Linked DNA regions of Tribolium castaneum. The main gene of each other region encodes a partner of the protein of the gene in region 3 in a complex. Links are inferred from orthologs where the notes say so. Each region holds a gene or a part of one and is shown on either strand. Other genes may lie near its edges.

Region 1 (3,652 bases), on a different chromosome or scaffold from region 3:
CGAAAGTGGTATTTCGCACATAATTATCTAATTATTTTCAAATTATCATCGCTATCTATTTTACCTTCAATAGCACAGAGTTTTGCTTTATCAGATGCAATTGTTCAGTTTATAACTATTTCTCTTATTATTTTTAGTTTATGTTTTTGTGTTATGAAATAGATCTGGCCATTCAACGAATAACCATAATTAGCTAGAAATTGGGTTTGATGTCCTTTGATTCTTACCCGATCTTCAGCGCAGTCCGACATGATATCCTGGCCTTCACTCTCCCTTCTTCGCCTCGACTTGGCACCCCGTCGCAGGATGGGAGGAGTGGAGGCTCGGGTCATATTTTCAGCAGGTACTAAAGTGTTTTGGTTGAGGTTCGGCGGTGTCAGGCCTGCAAGCAAGCTAGAAATGACGTTTTTCTGACACTTGACCAACTTACGTGACTTGATAAAGTGGCGACTTTCGGAGAAATCCCTCAGTGGGTTTATTCCACTCGGGGTACAGTATTTCAGGTCAAAATCGTCAGTCATTGGTGTTAGTTTCACGGGACTAGTTTGGTTGTTGTACGTATTTACATCAAGGTAGCTGTATGATGGCAAATCTGCTTTAACTGAGGTCGTGGAGGGTGGAGGCGAGGAGGAAAAGCTGACGACCGTATGGCTGGGGGTCAGAGGACCTGGACTGGGGGTGGCCGTCAGAGAGAAACCGCCTGTGCTGGACTGGTTGCTTCCATGGTCGTACGTCTCCAAAGTCCATTCCTGCAATTAACATTAAAATAAAATAACCGGTCGTAACGCAATCCCGCGTGCTCACATCATTGATAATCAGATTATCCTGGTTGACACTGCGACTATCACAATTATCAATGGTCACAACTTGGTGGTTCTGGTACTGAAAGGCCAGAATGTCTGCTTGTTTTGTTTGGTTCTTTCTGGCTCTCCCACGGCGCGTCTCCCCGTCTTGGCGGTTCTCGGTCTCGTACCTCCGCCGCATGGTGGAGTTCCAGTGGTTTTTGATGGCATTGTCCGTCCTTCCGGGCAACAGTTTGGCGATTTTGGCCCACTGGTTGCCCAAAACCTTGTGCGCTTGGTAGATAATCGTGTCTTCGTTCTCCGTCCAAGCGCTCTTTTTTATTTTGGGGTTGAGGTGGTTGTGCCATCGCTCCCGACACTGTTTGCCGATACGGCCCTTCAGGTGACGCGCAATCAAGGTCCATTTCTTCGCTCCGTATTTATTCACCAATTCGATCACTTTTTCGTCTTCCTGGAAACACAGAAACAGAATTACAACTTCCGTTTTTTTTTCTTTAATTGATTACGTAACGTGTTCCCACAAAAGTCATAGTTCACAAAACACATATGGTGATGCTTTGAGGGTCAATTTGCGCCATTTAGGGCCATATGGTCGTAACGCATCGCCTGGTTTTCACGAAAACGTGTGAGAATGCCCCCAAAGTGGAGCAGAATTTATGAGAAAAATTTTGATTGCCATCGTTGGTAAAAAGGTTTGGATTACAATCAATTCTTTAGTCAAATAAAAGTGGTCAATTTGAACCCCCCACCCGTTGGGAACTCACAGCTGTGAAAAATAATGCTTTGGAAGCCTCATGTCCTGTATCAGATGGATGGAACTAGCGGTGAAATATTTGTTATGTGGCGATTCTTTTGTACTGGATCAAATTATAGTCAGGGGGAAAACACAATACTGTTACAATTAATGAAAGAAAGAGACAGGTATACGATTCGGCATTTCGTCCCTATAGGTATGAGGCAAGCTAACTGTCTTAAAAAATTTGCAAATTGCTTATCATTTGTTCCAATATTTTTTAAATTTTCTTTTTCCTTATTTGCTTTGTTCAATCTGCTCCTTATTTTTCTTTATATAAATAAAATAACCGAAGAAAACAAAGGCTTGACTTTATGCTTGCAGCAATATTTTTTAACGTTTATGTAAATTAATACAAAAATTTCCTAAGCAATAATTACTCGTCATTAGTTCATTACATAAACACTAGCCGTTTTTTACGTTTATAACTATATTTCTACAACATTTTCTGATTCCTTAATTTGAAAATCATTTTGATCTCAAGAAAAACTCAAGAGACGAAGAATTGTGGCAGTTATTTGAAAAATTATTTATTTACAAATAAAAATGCAAAATCAAATACCATTGTAATATGCGTTTATTTAATCGAATACAATTTTTGCTAATTTTTACGGAATCTCAGGTGGATAAAACCGTTTCTTACGCTATTGATTTAAATTCAAATTTTTCATCCTGATTGGTGTTGCCTAGACAACGCTAAACTGTCAACAAAACGAGCCAATCAAAACTCGTTATTTTAAACAACTGTCACGTGCAACAAGCATCATTTATTGCAAAATGAATGAATGATTAATGCTTATGAACAAACGTAATCAAAAACTGTAAAATTAACGAACAAATGTTAACTCAATTTGAGCTGAGTTCGTGTATGTCCGATTCAAATTACTTTCGGTAATGACCGTTAGTAACCGTTTCAGGTTGTCTTCATTACAGGTCGTGTTTACTCAAATCGTGTTTGAAGTGTGTCCGTTCCTTTGTGTGCGGCCAAATTCCTCCATAAAGCATGTAAATGTGCAAATTACGTAAGTACAGCAGCCCGAGGGGGCTATAAAGCAGCGCGTTTGAAAATGTCCCCCGCAATTGTCTTGTACTCGTTGATTTACGATTCGATCTTGTCTCGCAAAAGAAAAGCGTGGGAAGCCGCACAAGCTTGAATTAAAATCATCAAGTCGGGGCCGGGAGGGTTGAACGATCATCATATCGTGGCTAACGTGGCCCTGAAGACCGCCTCAGATTACAAAGTAAGGTGTGCCCGGACTGGATAAGAACAGTACCGTCCAAAACAAACCAGTTGAATTACGCTTTATCGTGGCTTAATTATACACACACGAAAAAAAATTGTTACGTGAGCGGGGGCGCGGGGTGAAGATTCACCTTGACGCAAGTTCAAGAGCCCATTCAGATTTAGGCACTCCCACAACGAGGCCCCATGAATAATGGTGTAGTAACAACGGCTCCGAATTGAGAGATTAAAAAAAACTAGTTTGGCACAGTTCCGACCGTTATGGGCAAATTCAAAGTTTTTTTCCTGTTTTTATTGGCACGGAATTTCGACGGGATGGCCTTGGCAGGTATGTCGTGGTCGGAATAACAGCCAAAGCTTGAGCTTCCTTCCTCGAAGGCATTATTATTTATAAAAATAGAAATTCATATATTTTGATATCATTGATCGAATTTTCTGGCTAATATATTGTTTTCCACAGGTAAAACTTTGTGGCAGGTGCAAAAGATCAGTCTTGTTTGACGGAAGAATAACACTGAAAAGTGCCAAGTCATTTTTAAAACAAAAGGAATTAATGCACTTTTTTAAGACGCGGAATAATGGATTAAGCTGTTACCCAATTATGGATAAAACTTCAACAATGTATTCCTGTAATATAAGACCGTTGTCGGCAAGCGCACATGGTGTACACAAACAAACACAAACAAGAAAACAAACACAGTAGAGGTGGATACAATTTATTATTGTTTGAAAATAAGATAAGCTCCGAATTAAACAAAATAATTTGTTAACTGAAGTTATTCAAGCTTTGGCGGAAAATTACCACTTAGTGCA
Region 2 (4,357 bases), on a different chromosome or scaffold from region 3:
CGACTGATTGCGATTTCAATAAAATCCGCTTAAATTATTTATAAACACGCGAAATTTGCATTCACGACGTCCAATAACGCGGTTTATTGAGGACGCGAACTGATCTAGAAAAATTCACGTATATAATAGAGGTGGTGTTCAACAAAAAATTAGCGACAGAACAGGACATCTCTAGAAACAGACATCGGCAGAATCAGTCAAATCTAAAAAATCATAAACAGAAGCATTCAAAACACTTTTCGAGTCGAAGTATTGGTTTAGAATCGACACCCAGGACACATTTTCATTTTCAGAAATGTATTTATTTTTACATAATTTTTGTATTTAGCAACAATTTTCATTGTTGTTTTAAAATGTTTAAATTTTCGTTTCTACTAAAATTGATTCGGCACTTTTATTCCTCTGAAGCCGCTTTAGCTTTTCAATAAACTGTTCTTTATATGTTACATGTTCGACAAATCTATATTTCATATGCAATATAAGAATACAAAAAAATAGTTTTACGGCTGTAAAAAACAATCAGCAATAAACATATTTATAAATACAGGGTGTCCGTTTGTCGTTTTTATTTCTGATTTCAACGATGTATCACAAAATATGATCAAATATTACATGCTGATCAAAATGGAGAAAAAGCATTTTTACGAAAATTGCTGATCATTATGTGATACATCGAATTGTTAGCAGAAATAAAAAAACTTTTAAAAAATGCAAGTATCAAATATGGCTAAAGTTGAGTGTCGTAACTCTAACATCAAGAACGTCTTGAAAAAGGCAATGACAGATTTGGATTTAAAAAAAAAATCCCCAAAAAAATATTCTACTTAAAAACGTGTATTTTTTTGGTTTTTGCTTTAAAAAATAAAAACAAAAATTACAAAATATTGATGGGGTCAATTCATAACGGTTTGCGTGTGGGTATGAGCTTCTTTCCTTTGCTATTCATGCTATGATGACTAAAAATTCAGTCAGAAGAGTATGAACAATTAGTATTAAGATCTATAAGAAGATAACAGGTCGAAAAACTACATTACATTTACCATATCCACACGCATACCGTCGTGAATTGACCCATTACAACAAATTTTGAGAGAAAATGTGATGTTGGCATTTTTATGGTTTCGAAACAGGTAATAAATAGTATTTTATAATTATTCTTTTACATTTGTGTTTACCGTATTTACTGACTATTTCGTCATTATAGTGCAAAATAGTATTTTTGCAGTAGCGACACCTAGCGAATACTGCCTTTCTAATAATTTAAGGTTCTGTCTTGCACGTTTCTGTCGATGGCCTGTTCGGTGGGTGCACCTTTCCTGACAGCCGCGTATTATTGAAACTGCATCCCTGGGTGTTTTTTCCGGGGCATTTGCCCGGTGTCAGGGCCTCGTGCGCCCCGTGCGGGGGCCGCAAGGCAAAAAGGCGCCAAAATATTTCGAACGCATCGCTCCCTCGTGCCGCTTGCCCGAACTAGGAGCAGCGTGTCCCACGTGAAGGAATCCAGCCAATGGGAGCGATGCCTTTGTACCCGCCGCCAAGCTGGTAGTGGCTTTCCTTGCACGAAATAGCTCATCTTCAAAAACACCCCCAAGTGTTGTATCGCAAGCAAGCAGTTAAAAAGCGCGAAATTAGCAAATTGCGATATTCGAGGAAACTTCGCGAGTTGTTTAAACCGAATTCGTGGTGCGCGGGGTCCGCCTATTTCAATTCCAAAATATCGCCTAGTTACAGTCGCCATTTTTGTTGGAGTTGGATGGAGAGGAGCTCGGATTTAAAAACCGGTGCTTTTTCGACAGTGTCCCGTTTTTGAGGAAATGTGCTAAAGGGGCGGCGAGTGAGTGTTTCGCACGAGAGGGAAAATGACCCAGCAGAACAGCACAACCAACTGGGTGATCCAGGGAGCCAATGGTAATTTTTAAAGGGTTCGGGGGTTTTTCCAAAACGGGGGCCCACAACGAAGTGGTGCGGGGGCAAACAGTTGCCGGTTGGGGGGCTGGGCGGGAAAGGACCGAGTTTCGGGGGAAACCGCCTCGATGTGGGAGGAAAAGCGGGTTCAGTGCACGTGTTTTATTCGTTTTTTCTGTAACAGGGCAGATGATTAAGGTGGTCCAGCCCAGTGGAAAGCCCATAAGTGGCATTGTGACCTCGGTGGCAGGGCAGCCCATGAAGATTTTCAAATCGCCGAACAGCCAGGAACCGCTCCAGGTATTCCACTCGTTCCCCCCTAAATTAATTTGTTTGTAGTTCGTTAAAGATAAGACGGATTTGTTTACATCTATTCCTAAGTTTTCGAACGATTGATCGAATTTTTATCTCGGGGTAATTGCACAATTCATTCATCTCTTTCATCTTTCTTGCATGTCTTTGCCTATTTTCGACTACTTCTGTTTTTGTTTCTAATTTATCTTGACCATAATTATCGCGTGTTTGTGTGGAGGTAGATCAGTATCGCCACGCATTTGTAATGGTTTCGTGAATTTTATTGGATCACAAAAGCAGTTAAACTCATAAGGTTGCGTCATTGAAGAAAAACCGAGCTTTTTACCTCTTGTAAGTTAAATATTTTAGATTGTTTTGTCGGAAACCGGTTCTCAGACCCCACCTTCAGTCACCCCTTTTTCTCTTAATAGGTACAGCAATATCTCAATAGTCCGAAGCTTTTCTCGTCCGAATAGGTTTTTAGATTAACACAAAAATCATAATTATTAGATAAATTATCGAGTGTTATCAACGCCAGTAACAAAACTAGTCGATTTAAACACTTTCTTGTCCTGTCCCTGTAATTGGATTAATCTACATCATTATTATTTCAAGGGAGTTATTAATTTCCACTACTAACTATTTTTATACTTGTGTGCTTACTAAAGCTTCCACGTTTCTTCTGATTGTAAACATAATTACTATGTTGCTACTGGTAATCCGAATTTTTTTGTAGTCCGAATCACCTTCGGATTAACGAAGTGTTACTGTACTATACAGTGTGTCCACTGTCCACCGCGCCCGGCTATTTTGAAGATGAATGGTTTTTCAAGTTTTGCTCAATATTTACCACGCGTCTGCGCATTTTCCACATCCAGTTTATTTTATGTATAACTTAAGAGTTCTTAAAAACTACTTTTCCGTTTTTTAGTACGTTTCACTTTATTATCGATAATGATTATTCAAATTGCTTTATTGAAGACGAGCTCATTAAAACAGCGGAGATAATTATGATTCTAGTCACAGGACAAAAAACGTCTACTTCTAATTATCTTGACCGTGGCTATCGGCAATTGCATTAATTTTTAATTAATAGTGGCCCCATAAAATATACATATCTGTCGCTATCAGATTAGCATCGCTATTGATTGCTACGTTCTTAACAAACGTTTGTTCTTTGATATCCCGTCAATAAAATTCCTAATGGAACTAGTGCGACATGGCAGATAATACCTATCATAAATCTGATCTTCCCATTAACCTGTTGAGGTATCCTTGAACCTGAGTTGAGACACTGCCAGTCTGCGATCACGATTTTTCCCAATCAAAATCGCTGGGACATTACAATCCAAGACCATGTTTGGGGCACACGTGTTTGATTATTTATTTACATAAAAAGCTTCAGGAGTTACTGTCGTGTTTGTTATTTCTGCTTGAATTGGGAATCCTGTTTGTGACAACTTTTTTGGCCCATTCTTGGATGTAAAAACGCGTTATGACTTCAGTTGCTTTAACGCGTAAAATTAATTCCTTTTGTTAAAGGGCAAAAGGTTCTTTCATACTGCGAAATAACGGCTTTTTGCGTTACTACAGTCCTTAATCTTTGCGATACATCATCCACGAAGGCACGCAACGGTTTCAAAGTTTCAAGCTTTATAACTTTTAACAACCTCAACTTTTATACATTATCGTCGATAAACGAAACAGGCTTAAAAATTATATCGAGATATTTTTAACCGGTGGTTAGTTGAATTCATTCGTGCGATTAGGTTTTCACATTGCATCAGTTTCTAGTGTTTTTACGTAAATGATTACTGTATGGATTTTTTACATAATTTAGATGGTAGTGGATATAATTTAACTTTGGACTTACTTTTTTTTACATTTACGCTTGTTTATATGCTATTTTAAGTAAGATCATTGTTGCACCTTTCATCCTAATTCGGTAGCAATAAATTTACGACTTTGATAACAGATAAGGTTTTCCTAGGTATAAAAAACCCTAGATAACAGTGTTCATGTCTGTTTTTAAGCCGAACGCATAAAGTGTAAATAAGTATTTTCGTGGATAGACTGGCAATATTTTCTTGATTGCTTTCAAGCTTTTACAGATAAAGCCAACCCACGATTAATGTAGATAACAAATGTGTTGTATTTA
Region 3 (4,244 bases):
ATAAATACAGAAGAATAAAAATTACAAAATGACTTACATCTTACATTATTCTAAAAAGGCCACAAGAGCGTCAATTTTCATCTAGTTTCATTTATTGACAAAATTGCAACAAATCTTAGTTTCCCACATAAATATGTATGGCGAAAAAGACCAAAGTAATGTCATTCCCTACCTTCATTTGTGATTTTTTTGGCCTGTTATTCTAGCGAATTAATGCGAATTACTATGAGTAAGTGGAAAAAAATCAAAGTGACGTAATATTCGATAACTTTATTGATAATCACTTGCTCTATTTGAGCGAAATTTCAACAGAAAAGTGAGAAGTGTGCTTAAAAGCAAAAATAATATATACCTAATTATAGGTAAAATAATAATTATGTGATATGTTCGGCATTTGTACTTCAAATTTTACAAAAAAAAAACGACCCAATTCTAGAAAAACTGATCAAAATAATTCACATTATTTTCGACCTTTCGCTCAAAATTCACGTCATTTCCGACGTATCAAATAATTTCTCATCTTGTTTTAACAAGTCACCGTAAGCCCACCGAAAGGAACGACAACTATCAAGATCATTCATTGGTCTTCTGACAAAGTTTTGCATATTTAAAATAAAAATCCGGTATTTCAAACGTAATTAAATTATTTTTGGCGTTTTAATGCAGTTTTACGAAAAAAGTAAAATCATCTTACACTTGTTTAATACTTACTTGTTTAATAATAAAAATACCGTAATTTTCTACGTAATAAAGAAATTGTTCAAAGTGTTTAACGAAATCATACAAACAACGAAATCATAATAAAGAAAATGTTCGGAGTGTTTAACGAAGTCATACAAAAGTGGTCATTTCACAGTGAGTTTCTCGCTTAGATTACTAATGATTTTTGGTCCTGTTGTAACCAATTTATGAGAAATAGGTATGTTTTTAATCAAAATGCTGAAGAAAGGCAAAAATGGATATTCGATGTCCACTGATAATCCTTTTTAAACCTATTTAAGCAAAATGTTAAATTGATTGAAACTAATAAATAAAACTAGAACTAAAAATGTCCAAAGAATATATAAATTTCAGAAAATTACCGAGTTATTAAAGCAATTGTGAAAAAAAAAACAAAGAAAATCACTCAAAACAAGAACAAAAAAGCCAAAATAAAATCATTTCCGATCTTCATTTTTGTTTTTTTTTTTTGACAAAAACAAAGGCAAAAGTAATATAAAACTAAGCAAGAAAAGTGAATTTTTACCTTAGAAATGTGTTTAAGTAGGTATTAAAAAAAGCAAACACATTCTTTGCCTTTATTCGATGAGATTTCTTAAAAAAATGCTTTTCATCTATAAAACGACTTTAAGTTAGCTGAATTATTCAGAGTAATACAATTTTCATCCTTTGTTGGAAACTTCTGACCGTATTAGAAGAAAATTTTACAACAAAATATTTAAGTAATTCTCGACATATAAAAAATGTTTCGAACAGTTTGCTTTAATACTTATACACCTCTTTGTATTTTACTAACCGTATTTGCAACGTTTTAAAAACATTTCAATAATGTTTTTCCCCTAGAACAGCACATTTTTCTCAGACAAATAGTGAACCGGTTGAGTTTAAATTAATTTAAATGAAACCAAAACGATGCTATGGAGCACTGATGCTCTGGGGGACTAAATTTTTGGTAAAAACATCGAGTTATTTTGTATCTCGTTTCGCCCCTTTGTCTTATTTTTAGAATACTCACCGTATTTGTGGAACGAGACTGTCATCACCCGGTCAGTGGTGTAAAAAGCCTCTTCGACACCGTCACCGTGGTGCACGTCAATATCGATGTACAACACGCGTTGGTGGTACTTCAACAGCTCCAAAATCCCCAGAACAATATCATTTACGTAGCAAAAGCCCGAAGCTTCGGATTTTTTCGCGTGATGCAAACCCCCGCCCCAATTGATGCAAATTTCGGACGCTTGCTTGTTCAATTTAACAGCTGCCGCCACTGAGCCCCCAGCTGAGAGTTGGCAGAATTCGTACAAACCGTCAAAGACAGGACAGTCCTCCCCTACATTAAACCTCTGCATTTGTTTGTTGTACTCAGACATGTTGTCAGGTCGGATGGATCTGAGAAATCGAATGTAGTCATCCGAGTGAAACTTGGTCATTTCTTCGGCAGTGGCTTTATGGGGGCGCTGGGAAAGTCAAAACTAAATAACACCAACAATTCATGGAAATTAAATACTCACATAAATCTCCATTTTTCTGTACAGACCATAATTGAGCAGCAAATTATGGGTCATCCTTATGCGGTGGGGCTTCATGGGGTGTCCTTGCCCATAATAGTAATTCCCAATATCGCCTAACAATTCAAAATTATCAGAATTGAATCAAAATTCACGATGGACTAATAACATTCGCCATCGTAACACCGTACAAAAAAGCGTCATCATCTCATCATAAACCAAGCTAACCAATCAGCACCGAGCAAAAATACCGCGACCGTAGTCTACCGTGAATTTCCAGGCTTACGGTTTCGAAAATCGTATTTACATGATAGCACGATACGACACAAAATTAAGCAAACGCATGCATTTTGTTGGCAAATTTCAAAAACAAACGCCCCAAAATGGTGGAATAATTCATGTTTGGCTGAAATTGGTGGCTACTTACTGTCGTAATAGTAACAAACACGTTTCCGACTGTGAGGTTGTGTGGCCATCTTGTACTGTAGAAAACTAAATTGTTTTTAATTACTTTGGCTTTAATTATTACAAATCACTGTTCACTTTGTAACAATTTGTTTAAATTATTAGAATTACGGCGGTAGCACAACACGCCGCTTTGCAAATGGCACCGTTGTTCCCGCAGCAAGGACGCCAACCTAGCACCGGTGGCGATTTAGTGTAAAGTTGAATTTCCCTACTAAAAAATAAACAGGGTGATTCTTTTCGTTTTTGCATTGTAATGCCACCATTAAGGCCGTAACAAAGCTTTCTTTTTCATTGTTGGAGTTGATTCTCCTAACTTAAAAAAACTCTCCTTACGTAGCGCCATCTCTTTTCTTTAGAAGAGTCCTTAAGACCATATCCACAGCTTCCTTGATTAACGAAGGGAAAGTCCCTTGACCCTTCATTAATCAAGAAAGCTGTGATTTTCAACCGAAGGGGTCCCAAAAACGTTGAAGACGGTTTTTTACCAATGTTCGAATAATGGAAAATTAAATAATACCTGAATCGTAGAAGATAATTCACCACAACTTTGTTCCTTAGAACTGTTTTTTCTAACTACACCGCTAATAATGCCACATTAACTAATGAACAAAAATCAGCTTTTCATACAAAAATTCTCATGAAAAAGGAAGCCTCTACTGTAAAAAACTTATTTATCGAAGAAAACAACAATTATATGTTATGAAGATTGGTTAGCAGTTTTCAGTAGAGCAAGTTCTAAATTCTTCTTTACACTTAGTTAGAAATAATTAAGGGGTTGCATTCCTAAACATTTTTCCCTTTACATTCGAAACTGAGAAATTCTTATTTCTTGCCTTTAAGTTTTTCAGGTTTTACTAAGATAATTTTACCACAAAAAAACAAAAGTTGTTTGGGCTTAATCTACATTTACTTGACGATATTTTAAAGCAAATACAATGTTTAACTATTAGTTTATCACAGAAACAACGAATATATTTTCAAAACTTTTAGTGAATATATTAAAAAAACAAGACGTGATAGACAAATGTGAGATATATTTTAGTTATTACGTTATTAGTGAGTGAGAAGAAAACAAAATCAGTATAAATTATTTCTTGGTAAAAGAAAAAATTTTTTGTAAACTAGTTTAATTATCATAACTAATCATAGGACCGGTTTATAAAAACGTCATTAATTTAATCAGTTATAAAATGCGTGATTAACTGATTACGTGACCAAATTGAAGTCATTTGGTTGGTTCATTCGCGTTGTTAACTTTTAACAACGAATTCAATTTTAACAGAGCCTTTTATAAACCGGCCCATAAATTTAAAAAAATTAATAATATTTGAGAGTTTAAAGCAGCGAAACCGCTTTAAACACAAATCTAGCTTTTTAGAAAGCAAATTTTTTTAAAATAAGATGAAATGTTGCACATTACGTGGTTTTGCTTTGTGTATTTAAGAATGTTTCTTAATAAAAAAAAATGTTGTTTAAACAGACTCTCATTGTTGGGTTTTCTATAGTTTTTTTGTCAGAAACAAGCATATTAATATTGATATTTTACAC

What was found.
Region 1: HDAC1 (region 3) and Myb share a complex: the UniProt entries of both Drosophila melanogaster proteins name them as parts of the DREAM complex. The link is inferred for Tribolium castaneum from reciprocal best matches to the Drosophila melanogaster genes HDAC1 and Myb.
Region 2: HDAC1 (region 3) and Dp share a complex: the UniProt entries of both Drosophila melanogaster proteins name them as parts of the DREAM complex. The link is inferred for Tribolium castaneum from reciprocal best matches to the Drosophila melanogaster genes HDAC1 and Dp.

Annotation. Positions count from the first base shown.
Region 1 is NC_087396.1:14,744,949-14,748,600, reverse strand, and holds part of Myb (myb-related protein B), read right to left. Parts: intron 3,610-3,652; exon of another isoform or gene 3,300-3,609; intron 3,168-3,299; exon of another isoform or gene 2,351-3,167; intron 1,255-2,350; coding exon 805-1,254; intron 750-804; coding exon 431-749; intron 383-430; coding exon 228-382; intron 1-227. UniProt on the Drosophila melanogaster protein: DNA-binding protein that specifically recognizes the sequence 5'-YAAC[GT]G-3'. Component of the DREAM complex, a multiprotein complex that can both act as a transcription activator or repressor depending on the context.
Region 2 is NC_087398.1:7,907,968-7,912,324, forward strand, and holds the start of Dp (transcription factor Dp-1), read left to right. Parts: upstream 1-1,509; 5' UTR 1,510-1,859; coding exon 1,860-1,908; exon of another isoform or gene 1,909-2,089; coding exon 2,090-2,205; exon of another isoform or gene 2,206-2,224; intron 2,225-4,072; exon of another isoform or gene 4,073-4,220; intron 4,221-4,357. UniProt on the Drosophila melanogaster protein: Component of the DREAM complex, a multiprotein complex that can both act as a transcription activator or repressor depending on the context. In follicle cells, the complex plays a central role in the site-specific DNA replication at the chorion loci.
Region 3 is NC_087394.1:10,698,094-10,702,337, reverse strand, and holds the start of HDAC1 (histone deacetylase HDAC1), read right to left. Parts: upstream 2,888-4,244; 5' UTR 2,705-2,887; coding exon 2,656-2,704; intron 2,345-2,655; coding exon 2,232-2,344; intron 2,178-2,231; coding exon 1,736-2,177; intron 1-1,735. UniProt on the Drosophila melanogaster protein: Catalyzes the deacetylation of lysine residues on the N-terminal part of the core histones (H2A, H2B, H3 and H4).